Arabidopsis thaliana: one gene and its partners. Each later gene encodes a partner of the first gene's protein in a complex. Each region holds a gene or a part of one and is shown in the gene's direction. Other genes may lie near its edges. The genes, in order: TAFII15, TAF7, TAF13 and TAF4B.

Region 1 (5,188 bases):
TGTATTGCTGTTTATATTCCAACTTTATCATAAGTAATCTAGTTAATTGAAGATTAGCGACAAAAATATGATATTAAATTGGATGGGAGAAAACATATATTTAATTAAGCAAACGAACATATTCGCAACTTGAGTTTTTGGGGGGTGTTTGGTGACGTACAAACTTCTCTTCTTCTAGATAAGGAACTATGCACTACAAATTTTCTTAATTATGCACCACAAATTTTCTAAAGTACGATTAAAAAAGAGGAAATCTAAAGCCAAAGTAGTAATCAACCCTACAACAACACATGAGTCACGACTTTCAGTTAACTACAATTATACAAATATTACTTGATTAAGTGGTGTTATCTTAACTAGTGTAATGTATGTTTGAAATTAATAAAGTCCATCTACAAACCATTTTATCAAAACAAAAAATCCATCAAGCAAATTGAAGCCACTCTTATAGCCGACTAACCGTACCTACAAATTTTCTGTTTCAAACTTATGCATATCTATATGGGTGCTTATGATACTTCCTATTAAATTTAATAAAATTAGTAAAAATTTCCCTACCATATATCATATTATTATTTTTTCGATCCAAGAAAGTTACTTTTTAAAATAGTTTTCTATTTTGTGACACTTCTAAAATATTATAAGTGTATAGCCATTTTTCCCCAAACAAGGAATAGTCTATCAGTCTATACAGTATACACACGATTTATTTGCAAAGAACCTACATACACAATTTCTCTTCTACCATGTTAGATTTTTAGTACTTGTTTTACTAGATTATGTATTTTTGTTTGTCTATCGGTCTTTTAATTTTCACTTGCTGGAGGTAAATAATGAAGGAAGTAGTTAAAAATTGAGATAACATAGTTGTGTAGAAATTAGAATACAGTGCAGAACTTAAAAGTATGGTTACGATCACATTGACAACAGTCGATATTCCATTGAGATCACATGAACATTGCTTCGTTAGAAATGCTCGTCGATCGCCTGAAGTAAACCGATTTGATTGGCCACCATGTTTTGCCTCTTCCTGATTTCATTGATATATTTTATTTTTCTTTACTATTTTAAACAACAAAAAAATTTAGAATCCGTATTCCAAAAGTAAATTAAATTTTTGCATACAATTTTTCTTTTTCTTTAAAATATCTAGGTTTTAATATAATATTCCATAATTTGATGAAAAGAATTAAAGAGAAAGTTCAAATCAATCCATATAGCTTGTCCTAGCCTATAGCCAAAAATATTCCTATGCCGCGATTGAACAACCGTTTTTTAAAAATCGTCAAATTAAATCAAACCTTTTTCCATGACAATGAGACTTGGATATAGTTTACATTAGATTCTGATTGGCCCCTTTGATATAACTAGGTAAACTAGCTTCTTGAATAAACTGTCTCTTATTTTGGTTTTATACAAAAAAAAAAAAGCTTTTGGAAAATGATTTAAATGTAAATACATAATACGTAGCGTCTAAGAAGCATATTTGAGAAAATATGGATTTATTTATCTGGTATTTATCCATTAATTTACCTACAAATGGAATCCACCATTAACCAAAAACAAACAAACAAATGGAATCCCGTGAAATAAAGTATCATCATATACATATCTCTCTTTTATGTTTTTATGGAGAGAATTAGTCCAATCCTTCTTCACTGAATTTACCACCTGCTTCTCGTAGAATATATAAAACTACCCTTAAGTCTTTTTCTAATGACTATGAGTTGACAAATGAGAAAAACAAAAACTGCTTTTGTTGGTCATTAAATATTCCGTCTAGATGGAGTTAGTGCTTTCATTGTCATATTCTTTGTCTCCCATCAAATTAAAGCTCACTATACAGCAGATTGTACAACACTATACACTAAAGTTACATTTTTGAGATTTTATTGATTGACAATTTCGTTTCGATATTCTTAGATACACTAAACTCAAATATTGATTTTATGGGAAGAGAATAAAAAATGGATTGTGAAAAAGGAAAAAAAAAAACCTAAATTTGGGCCATATGTGAAGAATACTTCCTTAAGTTTGGGCCATAGTTTAAATCAATAGGCCCATTAGTCTATCTAACGATTCTTTCTCAACTCTTAAAAATCTGACCGGCGGAGATGGCTCTGAGTTGGACCAGTCGGAGGATTAGGGTTTCAACGGAGACTCACTAGTCGATCTCCGATCCTTTCTTCTACCCGCCCGAAATCCGTCGAAACTTCTCTTCTTTACCATTGATTTGCCTCGTCTCAGCTCAATTCTCTTCCGTTGCTGCTTCGTTTAGGTTCGCATTATCGCTTACTTTATTGAATTTTTCCTCTATGTCTCTGGTTTCAATTTCAGCTCAATTTTGTCTTTTTTTCGGTTGAATTTTCTCTTGGGTGGTATCGAATTTTGCTCATGAATGCTGTTTCTTGATGAATCAGAGCCCTCTTAGTTTACTTCACGTCGTTCAATTCAAAACTTGGTGTGGTCTTTTGCAACACAAATCAGGAATAGTTCGTTACTTAGAAACAATAATGTCATACGAGAAGACAAATCTGGAACAGAGAATTAGTAAATTGAGCTGGAAAGTTTCAGTAGTCAAAATTCTCGTAAAACTTATTTTGGTATAATTGTGTCATGAGTCATGACATTCTTTCTTAGGTTTCGTACAAGTTTCTAATTTGAGGTAGATACTAGTTCAGAGGTTCTTTATTAATGTTTGATTTTGAAAACCTTTCTTTACTTACAGTTGTTGCTTCGCTTCAGTACTCTGGTGGTGGGAGAGATGAATCACGGCCAACAATCTGGTGAGGCAAAGCATGAAGATGATGCTGCTCTTACAGAGTTCCTTGCTTCTCTGATGGATTATACTCCTACTGTATACTTTCCTTTGTACTAGTTACAACTTTTTCTCGGCTCTACATGACTGAAATTTGGGTATTGATTGAGTTCTGGATTTTTATTTTTCTTTCAGATTCCTGATGATTTAGTGGAGCACTACTTGGCTAAGAGTGGATTTCAGTGCCCCGACGTACGATTGTAGGTATTTCCGACAAGTTATATCTGATACTTACAATGAAAGAGCAGATAAGTTGATATTGAATGGAATCATTGTTGGGTCTTAGAATGGGTGACCAGTAGTTAGATCAATGGCTTGGTTTAAATCATTTTGGATTAAGGTTTTGCCCTGTTTAACATTCCTGTAAAATGGTATGATAAAGAAGTCTATGTTGGACTAGCACTGAAAAAGATTGGCAATTTGAATGTAAACTTCAGAGTTCAGTTTGAATGCGTAGAATAATGAGGGGATTCTTCTCTTTCTATCAAATTGAGTGCTGAATATTGGTATATTTTAGTTTTTGAGTTTTTCACTCCTGTCATAATCTTTTCCTGTATCTATTCTTGCCAATATTCTGTTTTTTTGTTTACTTGTTTGACAGGATAAGGCTAGTTGCTGTGGCTACACAAAAGTTTGTTGCAGATGTTGCCAGTGACGCCCTTCAGTAAGTTTTCATTCTCTTCACAACGAATTATCATACCCTTTTTCATATTTGACTTGTAATTGAGAAAGAGAAGACACTGCCCATTCTGAGTAGATGAGATGAAAAGATGTCTACGCTAGATTTTCCCAGAAGCTAAAAGCATTGATATAAGCTCCTGAATAATAAAAATTGTCAATTATATACAGGCATTGCAAGGCTAGACCAGCACCAGTTGTGAAAGACAAAAAACAGCAAAAGGTAACATCTGACTCCCTTTTGTTTTTTTTCCCTCTGCAAGACTGCAACAAATATGTTTTGGATGATGACATGAATATTAATGTTTCCTTAACAGGATAAGCGTTTGGTATTGACAATGGAAGATCTTTCAAAAGCTTTGCGTGAGGTAAATGCTTCTTCCTCTAAGTTCATGCTTCTGGTATTGTTGTCCCTCAGACCTCCAATGTATGAGAAGAAAATGTAGATGTCTCTTGTTTTTTTTTACTTAAGCTGCAAATTACTCTAAATACACATGGCATGAAACTAATTCAGTATCACAGAATCAACATAAAATGCTTAGAAACATGTTTTAGAGTTAGTGGTTATAATATTGTGTATTGCAGTAGTGTAGGTAGATAGGTAAGGTTTTACAGTCTCGTCTTAACTAGTAGTGGGAAGCTAACTCGTGAGTAAACTCGGTTTGGCAGTATGGTGTGAACGTGAAGCATCCAGAATATTTTGCTGATAGCCCTTCGACTGGAATGGACCCTGCAACAAGGGACGAATAGAAACCAGGAATTCCTCAAAATCTTTGCCTAGTAAGGACGGTCATGTGTCTCAGATCCCTGATTCTCTGTTGTGTTTCAGTTAAAAACAAAACTCACTTGTCTTGCTAGTCCTCAATTACTACATTACATGTATATTCGTTTGTTGTTTGTTCTCTGGTGATTTTTGGGGTTCTACATCACTTATCCACCATTCTTGCAAGTCTCCAAGTCGTGAAAATAAGATAAGTATCCATCCTTGTGATTAACTGGATACTGTAGGATTGAAAAACCACAAAGTATATTTTCCATCTAGCAATGATGAACCTAAGTGCTTCTGATCTAACTTGAAACATTGCCACACTCTGTTGTATACCTTTAGACAATCCCCCTTTGTAACCGCGGCATCTCAATAATAAAGTTACTTTTTGGAATTTAGCAATTGAAAAAAGCTGTTCTGTTTTGTTTTTTCACTTTCTCATGTCCGAATATTCTTTACCTAGAAATACATGAAAGAAGACAACAATCTGAAAAATCTAGTAACCTTTCGTCAGCTTTTACAACGCTACATTGAAGACAAGAACACATTGGTTTTTTCATCACAAAGAAAGTTGAAGATTCTTGAGTTTTTTTCCTCCTGAATTGTTTGAAATGGTGAATCCTCCACTTCAGTCTCCGACCAATCCGCATTTCTTCCAGCCACTACTTCCCGGTTTCGAGTGTCACCTCGTACACACTCTCTCTGTCTCTCTCTGTTTCTGTCTTTCTTTCAGAGTCGGTTTTGTTTTAAATGTTTTGAGGCTGAAAAGTTAAGGTAAGTTTCAAGTTTTTTATATGACATAGGTACTTGTGGTTTCTGAGCACATTCTCCTTATATGTATACAGGACCATAAACGTTGTCTGGAATGATTCTATATGCCGACTTTTTGTCTGTAATATGTAAAGTCTCTGTCCAATTTCTTCTCG
Region 2 (4,106 bases), on another chromosome or scaffold:
GAACTCTAATTACTTCTTTGATGTCTTCAATTCTTTAGATTCACTGCTAAACCTCAACAACTTCAATTAACTCACTCATAGTGTGTTCAGACATGGAACATATCATCATGTATCCTTTTCCTTAAGCGACTAAAAACTATGAGGTCTCACCAGGTACTAAATTCTAAACGACTAATCCACCTAACGACACCGAAAACTAGTGGTTTAAGACCACAAGTATGCTCACTGTCTATTGTCATGTCACAGAAAATTACTATCTGAAAAATATGGAGCCTAAATTTAATTTATGAAATCAGTTTTTAAGAAGATTCTCATAAGGCCCTAGTATCCATGAGAAGACACAAAGAGATGACCGAAAGAAAAAGGAAAGGCAGATAAACGTAGTAAACAAATCAAGAAAGAAGATGTGAAAATAGGGATATTTTCTAATCAGAACATAAGTAAAAATCAAGTGTTGGTTGTCCTATTTACAAAACATGCTCACCCGGTATAATAATCCCTTGGCAGGTAAATGTCCTTGACAGGACCAAACTGCTCAAACGACTTCCTGAGATCTTCTTGCCTGAAGAAAAGGACAAGGAGTAAGAAGAGAATTACAATTTGCTAAAAGCCAAGAAATGAAGATACATTGACGTCAACTTTTTGAAAACCTTTACAGTAAAGATAAGAGAACATCATGCCAAAATATGCTAAGAGGTGTCAAGTCTTCTTGCTTAAGAGGTGTGCAAACAATAACATCATCCACAATGGCTGAAGAAAATAATAGAGAAGTCAAAAGTATGTACCTGCAATCATGGCGTAGATTGCGAACCAAAAGACTGGTCGGGAGGTCCCTGCTACGACCTCCATATCGGCCTCTAGGGCTTGGGCTTCGACCCCTCCTCCCATAACCCCTAGGTGGTGACGGAGTGTAGCTCCTTCCCCTCATTGAGTCAAGCTTCAATCTCTCTATCAGTCAGTCAACACAAACTAGATTAGAAAATACACCAAAAGAGGTTGGATATTTAAGAGAGAAGAGACCACAAACACAAGAGCTATAACACCAGCGTCTAAGAGAACTTTAAAGAAGCAATCAATCTAGAAAGATCATATTTTCTAATTGAATAGTAAATTATATCAAAATAAGATCACATGCAATTCAGGTAGAGATCGAATCAGCTCAATTTCAAAAGATAGGAGCTAAGAAACGTTATATGTGAATAGGCACAAAAGATCACAACTTTCGTCAAACTTACTTAAGATGAACGATTCAATCCTTTATATCGATGTATAGACATAATAATTGCCTGATCTACAGTTTTTTCCGTCACGGGATCTTTCACCGGACTCAAAAAGTTGTACGGGCAACGAAGTTGTTTACAATTGAAGGAATCGAAGTCGGAAAAGCCAAGTTTATTCGACAGAGAAAGAAGAAGATACGGGTATATACGGTTGGGAAGAAGAGCAAAATATCAGGGATAAGACTTACCGGTGAACGAATCTCGGTGGTGAGGAACGACGGAGAAGTGATGCTGCAAGAATTGGAGAAGATTGATCAATGAACGACTTATTTATTAGGGTTTCTTTATATTATTTACGTTTTACATTTAACCCCCTCAAAATTATTTTAAAGTATTAAAATCCCCTTAAAGTTTTCTATTTGATAGATGCTCCATTCCAATTTCTGGTAATTAAATTATCTTCCTTTTTATTATCATTATACATTTATACTTAGTGAGATCAATTATCTAAGAGGAACTAAAAATGTAAAATTCAATAGAATTAAATAGCAAATTGGTGATTTTTCACCAATTGTTGGGTTCTGTTTGTACCTTTTATAATTATTTTGGTCAAAACATAAATCTTGAAACCTTTAGGGAGGGAAATAAAATAATAAATTGTTAAAAGGATACTTCTAGAAGGTTTATCTTATAATGTCTCTCTCTCTCTCTCTCTCTCTCTCTCTCTCTAACATAACAAAGAATTCGTGTTTCAGTTCAATAGATTCTCGTCTCTTTTCGACTTACGACATCAACAGACCGAAGTATACGTATTCGATACGATCTGCGTTCGCGAATTCACGTTTCTGGATTGATTAAGAAGAAGAATTCAAGTCAAGCTGTTGGTATCTACAATGGAAGAACAGTTCATACTTAGGGTTCCACCGTCTGTTTCAGAACGAATTGATCGGCTTTTAAGCGAGGATGCTTCTACTTCCGACGAAATCCCTTTGGATTTGTTTTTTTCAGGTACCAATTTTTAAAGGGTTTCTCTCTTTTTTGGCACATTACATCTGGGTTAAAGTTTCATCCTTTTTCTTAAATTTATGTCCTTTAGTCGTCAATCAATGAAATTAGTGTCTGGATCGTTTCGGGGATTGCTCCTTGTGTCACGTGATGAGTTCTTGAATGTTGGTTTGCCCAAAAGACATTCTTGAATCTGATTAAGGATCAAAGCTTGTGATTTGTGTCTCCTGGATCAGCTTAATGTTGTGAATTGTCTGTTTTGTCAAAGAAGCCAAAAGACATTCTTGTTGCATCATTATAGTTTGTCTAGAAATCCATTTGCATATTGTCTCTGGAGCAAACTTGATACGTAATGTTTGTGTGAACTGAATTTGCAGAGGATGGGAGAAACGGGACGTTTATGATTGGAAACGACGAGTTCCCGGCTTCTCTGCTTGATCTCCCTGCAGTTGTTGAGTCTTTTAAAACTTATGATGATTGTGCATTAGTCAAAACTGCTGATATTGGGCAGGTAAAATCAAGTTACTTGATTCATCTTTTACTTATATGCGTTAACTTCTGTAATTTTGGACTAAAACTCAATATGGATGCTTTGATTTGGCACACAGATGATCATGGTTAGGGAGCCTGGTGATCCTGCGCCTAATACAGTTGAATACAGACATGGTCTAACTCCTCCAATGAAGGATGCTCGAAAGAGGAGATTTCGTCGAGAGCCTGACCTTAATGTAATTTTCATTTGTTGTTATCTATCCATCAACATTGTTTCACTAATACTTGTGATTATGATTGAAAGTCTGTAGTGAAACGTATCTTTTGGAACTCCAAAGTTCTTTCTATTAAGTTAACATATTGATTTGCCAAAATGTTGCAGCCGGAGCTTGTACAGCGGGTTGAGAGAGACTTGTTGAATATATTGAGTGGCGGAACGGTAGAAAATGTAAGCTTTTCTTTCTATTTTCGACACATGATGTGTCTATATTTGCTCCTTGGATTTAGTAACTTCATTTATTTGAACTTTTTTTGGTGTAGGTACATGAGCAAGAGGAACCAGCTACGAACGAGAATGCTAGTAATGCAAGTAAGAAAGTATCTTCTTCTTCACCTACACCTGTTGAAAAGCCTGAAGCTCCTGAGACAGGCACTAGTAATCCAACAGGAGTTGAACCGGAGAGAAGTGAATCAGAAGATTCTGATGATTCAATGTGAGTTTATTATTATATAAAGAGATTTTTCTTACGAAAGCTTAGAGTTTGCGCAAGTCCTGTCTTAGAAAATCATGGATAATTATGTCCCCATGATTTGATGATGTCTTGTTCGACCTTTTTCAATGGAAAAGTTGTTTTGCGTTCAAACTACACCAAAGATTCTGTTTATTCTAGTTCAATTTCGGTTATTTCTTGAAGACAGTTTCAGGAATGAACCAAAGATTGATAGTAAAAGAAAAACCTTAGACTTAAAGAACAAGAACCAAGACATTGTTGATGCTAAACCTATCAAAAGCTGGAATCTAATCCAAACACCAACCATCGCCTTCATTAAACTTTAAGGTTTTTCTTCCGGGTCATTTTCTACAATGCCAAGAATAAGAAAAGAAAATTGACACTCTGCCTAGAAATTGAGATTCTAATTATCGGTCCCTCCATTTTCTATCCTGAATAGTGAATACGTGCAACCATGTCTACCTTTCATTACATACACAATTATGAATTATGTCATTTTTCAAACAAAACAACCCGAAGCTAAAACAAATGTGTAGAGCCTCGTAAGTAGTTGCCGTCACGATCTTCCTCTTCATCTTCTTCGTGTTCTTTCTATAAATTCTTTTTAGTCTTTGTATCAAGAAGCTTCCACAGCTTTTATAAACACTCATTGAGAAGA
Region 3 (3,769 bases), on another chromosome or scaffold:
ACTGTATCTTCTGGAAATAGCTGCCACCATTTTACACTTTCTTAAAGAATCATCGGATGACTAATGTTGGACTTAACTTGTTCGGTTAATATGTCTTTGGTTCTCTTACTTTGAAGGTGACTTCTAGTGAACATCAGGCAAGCAAGACAAAGCTTAAAGGATTTAGAGCCTCTAGCATTTTAAATCGGATAAACCTCGATGATTTTAAAACAAGTACAAAGATTGAGGCTTTGGTATGTGCCCTTTGAGATCTACAGCTTCTGTCTCTCCCACGCTTAAAGTTTCTTTGGAGATTGGAGGCTTTATCTAACCATTTGGTGATAAAAAAAATTTGTATGCAGAGAGAAGAAATCAGGTTCATGGTTGAAAGAGATTGGTCTGCCAAAGCAATAGTATTCAGCCAGTTCACATCATTCTTGGACCTGATAAGTTACGCCTTGGGGAAGGTAATTTCAAGCGCAACCAACTACAAAATGCTACTACTACTATATCTGTGCTCCTTTAACATTCTCTTTAATCATAATGAGACATTGAATAAAAATGATTGACTCATTTTGTACAACGCAGTCTGGGGTTAGCTGTGTTCAACTGGTGGGAAGCATGTCCAAGGCAGCTAAAGATGCTGCACTCAAAAATTTTAAAGAAGAGCCAGATTGCAGAGTTTTATTAATGAGCTTGCAAGCTGGAGGGGTTGCTCTAAATCTAACAGCCGCTTCGCATGTAAGAAGTGTACAACTTATAAAACAGTTGCTCCTAGAACATGTTTTATTCACTGACATTCGGGTGTTTGATTGTATAGGTGTTCATGATGGACCCGTGGTGGAACCCAGCGGTTGAGAGGCAAGCACAGGACAGAATACATAGGATCGGACAGTGCAAGCCTGTCAGGTTATATTTTTGAGTTGTCCTTCAATATACTGTATGTTGTTTTGGTGGGGGAAGAAAGAAGAAACATTTGGTTGTGTGACAGGGTTGTAAGATTCATAATGGAGAAAACAGTAGAGGAAAAGATACTAACGCTTCAAAAGAAGAAGGAAGATTTGTTTGAAAGGTTTCTTATTTTAAACGATACGCTTCTCTCAACTTTGCTGGTTTCTTATTGTCAACTGTATGAAGCCTATATGAAGACATATTTGCTTTGTTACAGTACGTTAGGTGACTCTGAAGAGGCCGTTGTACAAAAGCTGGGAGAAGACGATATCAAGTCCCTGTTCGCATAACCAAATCTTGTAGATGAAGAACATGATAGAAAATTTGTATAGATAGAAAAAAGAGTCTTGACAGGACAAAATTAGGCTCAAGCTAAAAGATTTGATACATACTTGTGTAATATGATGAGCACCGGATAGATTGTATATGAATCGGATCACAAACTTTTCCTTCTCCCGAAGAATATTGAGCATGAGGCCATGGCCGGTTTGAGCCATACCGTGAGAACTTAGTTACAATGTCGGTCGACTAGTGTACGGGTTTCTGGTTTAGATTATGGGCTGGTTTAATATAAATGGGCCTATTTATTAAGCCCAATTACTTCGTATGTAATGCAATGTGCTTCTTCTACGAGAGAGAGAGAGATCAGTGAACAAGTCCCCGTTTCTTCGTTCTCATCATCTTCATCGCCGATTTTGCAACGACCACCTCTGCTACTCCCGTCGATCAATCTACGGTGAGCTCTCTGCTCTCACTATTCCCTTTTCAATTTTCATTCCTTTTCCATGACGACAAATATTTGGATAAAGAACCTTATTCGATTTAACTCCGTTGGTTGTTGTACTGTACCGGAATACAACTTTCCGGTAGCTCTCTGGTTTTGATTGCGGTAGAAATCTAGAATATAGGCTCGGAATTTCATTTTCTAGTTGAGATTACACTGTTTTTTCTTTTTTGAAAATTTTCACCTAGGGTTAGTATTTGACTCAATTGGATTTTGTCGGTAGAGGAATTTCACTTATTTTTCTATTATTTTGCTCTCCTGGATTTTGATTATCAGAAGAAGAAGAAGAGATGAGTAACACACCAGCAGCGGCGGCGTCATCATCGTCTAAATCGAAAGCTGCGGGAACTTCTCAGCCACAGGAAAAGCGCAAAACTCTCTTTCAAAAAGAATGTAAAGTCTTTAGTTAAAACCAGATTTTTGTATTCTTCATTTTGTGATTCTTCTGGTAACAATGGTTTTGGTGCTTTTGTTGATTTTTCAGTGCAGCATATGATGTATGGATTTGGCGACGAGCAAAACGTAAGCCGCTATCCTCTTCATTACTATTTTGTTGCCATATGAACCGTATTTGTAGATATAGTTTCATTCCAATACAAGTAACGAATTAGGTAGAGAATCTTTGCTTTAAAGGGTTCTTGGTCGTGTAACATCTTTTAGTGTTTTACCACCTGAAACTGATCCAAAACTCCTCTGTATTTAGCCTCTTCCAGAGTCTGTGGCGCTTGTAGAAGACATTGTTGTGGAATACGTCACAGATTTGGTAGTGAGCTTTTTCTTTTTGTGAATGATTCATGTTTTACATTACAAGCGGAGAGATATTAGCTAACAAGTGATGTTTCAATGGCAGACACATAAAGCTCAAGAAATTGGTTCAAAGCGAGGAAGACTTCTAGTTGATGATTTCTTGTATCTTATCCGCAAGGTAAAAATTCTTTTTAAAAAGTACACAATCGATGATTGAGATGGTTTATGGTTTTGTATTCTATATCCGAAACTTTGGCGTCTTTGATTTATGCAGGATTTGCCAAAACTGAACCGCTGTAGAGAACTGTTGGCGATGCAGGAAGAGCTGAAACAAGCACGCAAAGCTTTTGATGTCGACGAAAAGGAACTCGTTGATTGATCTTGCTTTTCCTCAACGGGAGGAACAAATGCTAGGTAAGAGGAACCTCATGGATGCCGGACTAGGGACAGCGTTTTAGGTTGTAATCAGAATTCGAAGCACAGTAGCAAAAAAAAAGTGTGTTGACTTAAAAAAGGTGAAAAAAAATCTTGCACAAGGCCGACTCATATTAAATGTAGGCCCATTAGAAGAAAGCCCATTATCTAGCATCCCGTATATATCTACGGACGACCTTTAATTTTTCTTGAGTCAGGAATTTCGAAACCCTAAAAATTTAGAATAACCACCCGATTTTTGTTTCTTTCATTAAATTAATTACCGCAATAATTATAAAATTAGTCATCATTATAAGACTTTTGTTTTTCTCTAAATTTTTCGTCATCTTTCTGATATTTTGATTCATTATTTTACCATGGAAACAATAAATAAGAATGGTGATCAATTACCAACTAAAGAAAATCATTGTGATCAATTAGAGATAGAGCAAATAAACAACACGAGCATGAAGAAGAAAAAGTCATCACGTGGGATGCACATGTTCTCCGTCGTCATGTTCATGCTTCGTCGCCGCCGGGGAGAAAACCCTTCAACACCAGGTTCTGGCGGCGAGTCGTTAAGTCCGTACGTAAACTCCGTTTCGAAATTACGATAATGCCATCGTCAACTTTTACTAACACAATTGTTCTCCCTCCGGCTCCTCCTCCTCTGCCAGCGACAGAAATGGGAGGAGACGATGGTGATAATGATAATGAAGATGATGATGATTCCGAGGGTCGTTTATCAGAGACTATGGAGGTTTTCACGGCGGCTTCATCTTCATCATCATCAGGAATCTCGGGATATGGATCAGCCATGTCCTTATATGATGATGATATTGATGAGGAAGAAGATGAATGTTATAGTGATGTGGAAGGAGGAGACGATATGAT
Region 4 (6,361 bases), on another chromosome or scaffold:
CTTTCCTACCACTTGTCACGCAACTTCCTTCTCCACACTCCACCTACTACTATATATTTACACACACTTTCATTACTTCTTCTTCAGCAATTAAACAATTTCTTCACTGCAATTCACAAGCAACCTTCAAACTAAAACTCGAGAGACAAGAAATCCTCAGAATCTTTAACTTAATGGCGCTCGAGGCTCTTACATCACCAAGATTAGCTTCTCCGATTCCTCCTTTGTTCGAAGATTCTTCAGTCTTCCATGGAGTCGAGCACTGGACAAAGGGTAAGCGATCTAAGAGATCAAGATCCGATTTCCACCACCAAAACCTCACTGAGGAAGAGTATCTAGCTTTTTGCCTCATGCTTCTCGCTCGCGACAACCGTCAGCCTCCTCCTCCTCCGGCGGTGGAGAAGTTGAGCTACAAGTGTAGCGTCTGCGACAAGACGTTCTCTTCTTACCAAGCTCTCGGTGGTCACAAGGCAAGCCACCGTAAGAACTTATCACAGACTCTCTCCGGCGGAGGAGATGATCATTCAACCTCGTCGGCGACAACCACATCCGCCGTGACTACTGGAAGTGGGAAATCACACGTTTGCACCATCTGTAACAAGTCTTTTCCTTCCGGTCAAGCTCTCGGCGGACACAAGCGGTGCCACTACGAAGGAAACAACAACATCAACACTAGTAGCGTGTCCAACTCCGAAGGTGCGGGGTCCACTAGCCACGTTAGCAGTAGCCACCGTGGGTTTGACCTCAACATCCCTCCGATCCCTGAATTCTCGATGGTCAACGGAGACGACGAAGTCATGAGCCCTATGCCGGCGAAGAAGCCTCGGTTTGACTTTCCGGTCAAACTTCAACTTTAAGGAAATTTACTTAGACGATAAGATTTCGTTTGTATACTGTTGAGAGTTGTGTAGGAATTTGTTGACTGTACATACCAAATTGGACTTTGACTGATTCCAATTCTTCTTGTTCTTTCATTTTAAAAATTATTAAACCGATTCTTTACCACATATTTTACAAACGCGTTGAGTCTTTTTTTTATCTGAATAAGCATAAAGTGACACCACTACAACTCTGTTTTTGGTTCTGTTTTTTTCAAAAAATTTATAACACAATTAAGCATAATCAAGAACGTTCTAGTTTCTACTACCATCCACATATTGTTCTTTCTTATATTTTGGAAAGCTCTAAGCAAATAAAAAGAGTTGTGATATCTTACGGAAGACTGCCAAAGAAAACTCAACTTTCATTTTTCTTTTACCAAAAGAATACCGTAACTTTCAATTGAAAAAAGCCTTTCTTGACGGGTCGTTTGTTTTCTTTAGTAGCACTGTTTAATTAACGTAGATAATCCCTTCTTTAATTTGGTGAATTATCTACGGGAAGTCCAAAACTCAATGGTCATAAACGTGTATCAAAATTCATCTAAAAGTTAATTAATTTTTTTTTGCAAAAGTCTGATGCTAATATGAATAACTGTTTAAGAACTCCAACATTATATTCAAGAAAAATAAATTTTGATATACAAGAACAAGCCCAGTTACCGAAAAGAAGAACAGAACGGCGCGCAGTGTTTTATCCAAAAGAAACAACTACCGAAAAGAAGATCAACAGAACGGCGCGCAGTGTTTTATCAAAAAGAAAAAACGACACGGTGTTCTCGCAGAATCTCCCTTTATATAAAAACTTGCGGAATTTGGAATCTTATTGGATACAACAAATCGTTTCCTTGAAAATTCCCTCTTCGTTTTGAGCTATTGACGTTTGGTACCGCGAGATTCCTCCATGGATCTCTCCATTGTCAAGCTCCTCGAAGAAGACGAAGAGGTTAGGTTTCGAATTTCCCACTCTCATTTTCATTTCCGTACTGTCTGCGAAAATCCACGCGCTATCTTGTTCTGTGGACGAAGCTCCTAAATGTCGATTCCCGCTAATCGTGTCGTTAGGTTGACTCTAAGCATTCGGAAGATGACTTGCAAATGTTTCAGGACTCTCTGATTCGAGATATTGAAGGTTCGTTTTGGACCCTAAAATTCATATGCGAAACTGTGGAATGTATCAAAACAGGGAAATGCCTTTAGATTTCTTTAGTGATTTAGGTTCACGAGTCGTATTTTTGTGGTTTGTCATGTATCTTCATGTTTCACTTGATGTTAACTGTTGAATGTTGATGGATGCAATTAGATTGTTAGTTCTTGATGATGCTTTAGTGACGGTTAGTCATAGAAAAATATTAGAGCATACTCATAATTGATTTTGGTGCTTGAACTCATGTGCCCCAAGGAAGTAACTTGAAGTCTATAAACAATACTACTGGTAATGAATCAGAAAAACCGCAACCTCGGTATATGAAACTGCAGAAGATGAGTAGCAAAGAGACTCCTTGGGTGGAAAAGACTGTTGACCCTGTGAATCATAATCTTAGATTAGCACGAGTTACTGATTTGCTTCGTACCGTGGTAGACCACCAACCCGGCAAAAAGACGCATTGTCTTAACCTGCATTATAAACTCAAGGTGTGGCTTTACAGTTTACATCCATGAATGAATTGGCACTCTGATCGAAGTTTCTTAATACATTACGTTTCTTTTCATACTTGATTGCAGAGAAAAGAACTTACAATGGAAGAGTTCATGCGACAACTGAGAGATCTTGTAGGTGATCAGATAATCAGATCGGTAATTAGCCAACTGCCTCAGTTAAAACCGGTATTACCCTTTCCATTTTCTTAGCATTTATAAGTACTTTAATGATTTTCATTTAGCAGCCTCCAAGAGAGTTTCTTGTTTTATATGCTTCCTTCTCTGTATATGAACATGTGCTGAGAAAGAAATCTCACTTCTGAACCTTATTAAAAAGGAAATAACATAAAGAATTCTCACTTTAATAGTATAAGCTGAATACTTCTTGTCTTGGAATTGTGGCTTACTGGTTTCAGAATGAACTGTATGTGTAACCAGGGAAATATGGGGATCAAAGTACCTGGACGCTCAAACCATGACAAAGTGTCTAAATCTGCTGGTATAACTTATTTAGTTGATGCCATTTACTTTTGCAATTATCATAGATCATCTTAACTTTCTGGTAGATCTTATCTTATGATTTCCTTGTAGCATACAAAACTAATCCCAGATACAATCATTAACTGCAGAATTCACTGCTCAAGAATCTGATCCTCGTGAAGTTCATGTTAACCAACTGTCTTCTACAACTTCAGGCACCTTAAACAGTTCAACTACTGTGCAGGGATTAAATAAGCATCCCGAGCAACACATGCAGCTTCCATCAAGTTCTTTTCATATGGATACCAAATCTGGAAGTCTTAATCCATACCCAGGGACAAATGTCACTTCTCCTGGTTCATCATCGAGAGCAAAGCTCCCTGATTTCCAGCATAGGGAAAACAATCAGAATGTGGGAATAGCCAGTGTTGGAGGACCAACCAAGTCTACAATAAACATGACGACAGTACCCAAGTTTGAGAGGCCAACTTTTGTAAATGGTCCAAGTAGGGTTCAGGATGGTCCTATATCCGACTTCCCAAAGAACTCATCCTTTCCTCTATATTCTGCTCCTTGGCAAGGATCAGTCACCAAGGACCATACAGTGGGACCTTCTTCATCAGTGATCCATGTGGAGCATAAATTGATTGATCAAAGTTTTGAACAGGCACATAAACCTCGTTATTTGGTGCAGCAAGGCGTGACTAATGTTCCACTGAAACAGAAGAATGCTATTCCAATTAGTTCAAATGATGACTTGGAGAAGCAGTCTTCTAAAATGGGTTTATTCACATCAACCACTTCTGCCAGCTCTGTTTTTCCTTCAATGACAACACAGCTGGACTCTAGCACGATGGTAACTTATAAATTATACTTTCAAAAGACAGATTTCAATTTGGTTGATCTTCTCTTTAAGCTCATAGGGGGACCATTTCTCTTCAACCGATGTTGCATTTGGTTTCGTTTTGCTTATATTTTGGACCACCCTGGCTTCTATTTCTCCTTGTACTGGCTTCGAACTTTGGTTGTGAAGAGTAAATGGACTATCTATCTTACGTGAAAATTATTTGTGTACACTTCAGGTTAATATGCCTGCCCCATCTGAGACCATTCCCAAGATTGCTAATGTTACGGTGACACCCAAAATGCCTTCTGTTGGTCAGAAGAAACCTCTTGAGGCACTAGGTTCTTCGCTGCCACCATCAAGGTAATGAGCTGGCTGGTTTGTGAAAGATGAACTACTTACAGCGTCCATAAATTACTCTTCCTTTTTTCTTTGCTTTTCTGATAATATCCTTTTTACCTTACTAACAATTTAGAATTGCTAAATTGAAGTCTTATGTATTTTTTAATATACAGAAAGAAGCAAAAAATATGTGGGACTTCTTCAGATGAAAGTATTGAAAAGTTTAATGATGTCACTGCAGTCAGTGGCATCAATCTCAGGGTATGTTTACGAGTTGCTACACTTCTCATTTTGAACCTGGATATAGAGAAACAATAAACCAAATTACTTTCTGCATCTGTTCTAGGAAGAGGAAAAACAATTATTAGATTCTGGTCCTAAAAAGAACGATCGTGTTTCTAAAGCATATCGAAGACTTGTGCATGGAGAGGAAGAAAGAACGCTTTTGCAGAAAATTCCACTGCAGAGAAAGCTGACAGAAATTAGTTTGTGTTTCAACTCGTATCTTAGCTGCTTCTTTGGTCCTTACTTGGAATCACTTGGAGAAGAAGTTTATGTATGCTTTCATATATGACAGTGGGAAAAAGTGGTTTAAAGCATATAGACCATGATGTAGAGCGGTGCTTGTCTCTGGTGAGATGTTAACACCTTTTCTTGGAATTATTAGCCTTCAATTTCCTGTTTTTGTTTTCGTTTTTCTCATGGCTTTGCGCATTCAGTGTGTGGAGGAGAGGATGCGAGGACTACTGTTTAATATAATACGAATATCAAAGCAGGTCAGTCTACTTTCTCTTCTCATGCCTCCTTAGATCTTGTTGTACCTAAATCTTTCTGAAGTTACAAGAGCTTTTGCAGCGGACTGATGCAGAGAAGTGTAGAAATCGGACTTTTATCACATCTGATATCCGGAAAGAAATTAATGAAATGAATCAGAAGGTGAAAGAGGAATGGGAAAAGAAACATTCTGGAGAAGAAAAGGTAATGGTTTGTCCTGAGCTTAATATCTATTTGTCTTAGTTATCAGTAGTAATGTCTAGTTTTTTTTTTTTGTATATTCATTGATGTAGAACAAAGAAAATGATACTGAAAAAGAAGACCAACGTTCAAACGAAGTGAAGGTATTTAGAACTTGAGCCAACTACCTAAACCTTTGGAGATATACACATACGTACACTGAAAGAGGTTTATTGATCACAAGTCAGGCAAATAAGAAGGACGAAGATAAAGAGAGAGCCAAGGCTGCAAATGTTGCTGTTCGTGCAGCCGTTGGAGGAGATGATAGGTTTTCAAAATGGAAACTTATGGCTGAAGCACGTCAGAGATCTTCTCCAGGGCCAGGAAGAAACTCCAAGAAACTTTCTGGTAAGATTGGTAATCCCGTTTCTATGATCTGAAAGAGTAAATCTCTCAGTTCTGTTGCTGGTTATTCTTGTGTTTCGTGCTCCTAATTGCATATTCGAACTTTATGTAGGTGGTACACAATTTGGGAAGAACCAAGGTTTACCAAAAGTAGTCCGGTCAATCTCTGTGAAGGATGTGATCGCTGTGGTGGAAAAGGAGCCTCAGATGTCAAGATCGACGCTATTGTATCGCGTATACAATAGAATCTGCTCGGATGTTTGAAACCAAGAAAAGACATAGGACCAATTCTTTATTTTTTTTTGTAGAAAGGTTCTTATTCCATTAAAACTAATGCCATTACAAACTCCTAAACATGATCAAGATGCTAAAGTACATCCTTATTTCTTCTTCCTTTCACTACCTAAAGCAAGCTGCATGTTTTTTCTAGTTTTTGCCTGATCCCTTCGTGCTGACTCCGCCGTGTCCATATCCTCCTCCACCACCACCGCCTCCGCTGCATGAACCTCCGCATCCTCCACCACCACCGCCAATGATGACTCCACCACCAATACCTCCTCCACCACCAATACCTCCTCCACCTGACCCGTATCCTGGACCACCACCTCCGTTGCCTCCATCCCAACCCAAACCACCACCTGAACCATACCCGGCACCTCCACCAAATCCACCACCGATTACAACACCACCACCGCCGCCACCTGGACCGTATCCACCACCACCATATCCCGGGCCTCCACCGCCGTAGCCACCAGCTGTGAGTTCACCCTTAAATCCGGTTACGTGTCGGATACTCTTTCCAATCTCACTGGAGTGT

What was found.
Region 2: TAFII15 (region 1) and TAF7 share a complex: the UniProt entries of both Arabidopsis thaliana proteins name them as parts of the TFIID complex.
Region 3: TAFII15 (region 1) and TAF13 share a complex: the UniProt entries of both Arabidopsis thaliana proteins name them as parts of the TFIID complex.
Region 4: TAFII15 (region 1) and TAF4B share a complex: the UniProt entries of both Arabidopsis thaliana proteins name them as parts of the TFIID complex.

What each region holds. Positions count from the first base shown.
Region 1 is NC_003075.7:15,353,281-15,358,468, reverse strand, and holds TAFII15 (TBP-associated factor II 15), read left to right. Parts: upstream 1-2,037; 5' UTR 2,038-2,278; intron 2,279-2,298; exon of another isoform or gene 2,299-2,665; intron 2,666-2,728; exon of another isoform or gene 2,729-2,745; 5' UTR 2,746-2,764; coding exon 2,765-2,857; intron 2,858-2,953; coding exon 2,954-3,018; intron 3,019-3,419; coding exon 3,420-3,482; intron 3,483-3,667; coding exon 3,668-3,719; intron 3,720-3,813; coding exon 3,814-3,864; intron 3,865-4,165; coding exon 4,166-4,246; 3' UTR 4,247-4,422; coding exon of another isoform or gene 4,423-4,498; 3' UTR 4,499-4,549; coding exon of another isoform or gene 4,550-4,630; 3' UTR 4,631-4,673; downstream 4,674-5,188. Other genes in the region: AT4G31715 (uncharacterized protein), read right to left, coding at 4,423-4,498, 4,550-4,630, 4,767-4,810. UniProt on the Arabidopsis thaliana protein: TAFs are components of the transcription factor IID (TFIID) complex that is essential for mediating regulation of RNA polymerase transcription.
Region 2 is NC_003070.9:20,627,498-20,631,603, reverse strand, and holds TAF7 (TBP-associated factor 7), read left to right. Parts: upstream 1-1,911; 5' UTR 1,912-2,113; coding exon 2,114-2,228; intron 2,229-2,602; coding exon 2,603-2,736; intron 2,737-2,833; coding exon 2,834-2,953; intron 2,954-3,099; coding exon 3,100-3,450; 3' UTR 3,451-3,581; downstream 3,582-4,106. Other genes in the region: SCL33 (SC35-like splicing factor 33), read right to left, coding at 485-562, 786-928. UniProt on the Arabidopsis thaliana protein: TAFs are components of the transcription factor IID (TFIID) complex that is essential for mediating regulation of RNA polymerase transcription.
Region 3 is NC_003070.9:579,080-582,848, forward strand, and holds TAF13 (TBP-associated factor 13), read left to right. Parts: upstream 1-1,545; 5' UTR 1,546-1,666; intron 1,667-1,990; 5' UTR 1,991-2,004; coding exon 2,005-2,107; intron 2,108-2,198; coding exon 2,199-2,236; intron 2,237-2,417; coding exon 2,418-2,477; intron 2,478-2,564; coding exon 2,565-2,639; intron 2,640-2,735; coding exon 2,736-2,840; 3' UTR 2,841-3,231; downstream 3,232-3,769. Other genes in the region: AT1G02670 (P-loop containing nucleoside triphosphate hydrolases superfamily protein), read left to right, coding at 117-233, 342-446, 568-720, 800-888, 971-1,051, 1,148-1,220. UniProt on the Arabidopsis thaliana protein: TAFs are components of the transcription factor IID (TFIID) complex that is essential for mediating regulation of RNA polymerase transcription. May be involved in polycomb repressive complex 2 (PRC2) mediated repression.
Region 4 is NC_003070.9:9,642,798-9,649,158, reverse strand, and holds TAF4B (TBP-associated factor 4B), read left to right. Parts: upstream 1-1,782; coding exon 1,783-1,824; intron 1,825-1,834; exon of another isoform or gene 1,835-1,943; coding exon 1,944-2,010; exon of another isoform or gene 2,011-2,280; coding exon 2,281-2,513; intron 2,514-2,603; coding exon 2,604-2,705; intron 2,706-2,957; coding exon 2,958-3,018; intron 3,019-3,148; coding exon 3,149-3,855; intron 3,856-4,081; coding exon 4,082-4,206; intron 4,207-4,358; coding exon 4,359-4,446; intron 4,447-4,531; coding exon 4,532-4,670; intron 4,671-4,762; coding exon 4,763-4,818; intron 4,819-4,904; coding exon 4,905-4,961; intron 4,962-5,040; coding exon 5,041-5,163; intron 5,164-5,252; coding exon 5,253-5,303; coding exon of another isoform or gene 5,304-5,318; exon of another isoform or gene 5,319-5,387; coding exon 5,388-5,547; intron 5,548-5,656; coding exon 5,657-5,808; downstream 5,809-6,361. Other genes in the region: STZ (salt tolerance zinc finger), read left to right, coding at 174-857; AT1G27710 (Glycine-rich protein family), read right to left, coding at 5,971-6,361. UniProt on the Arabidopsis thaliana protein: TAFs are components of the transcription factor IID (TFIID) complex that is essential for mediating regulation of RNA polymerase transcription.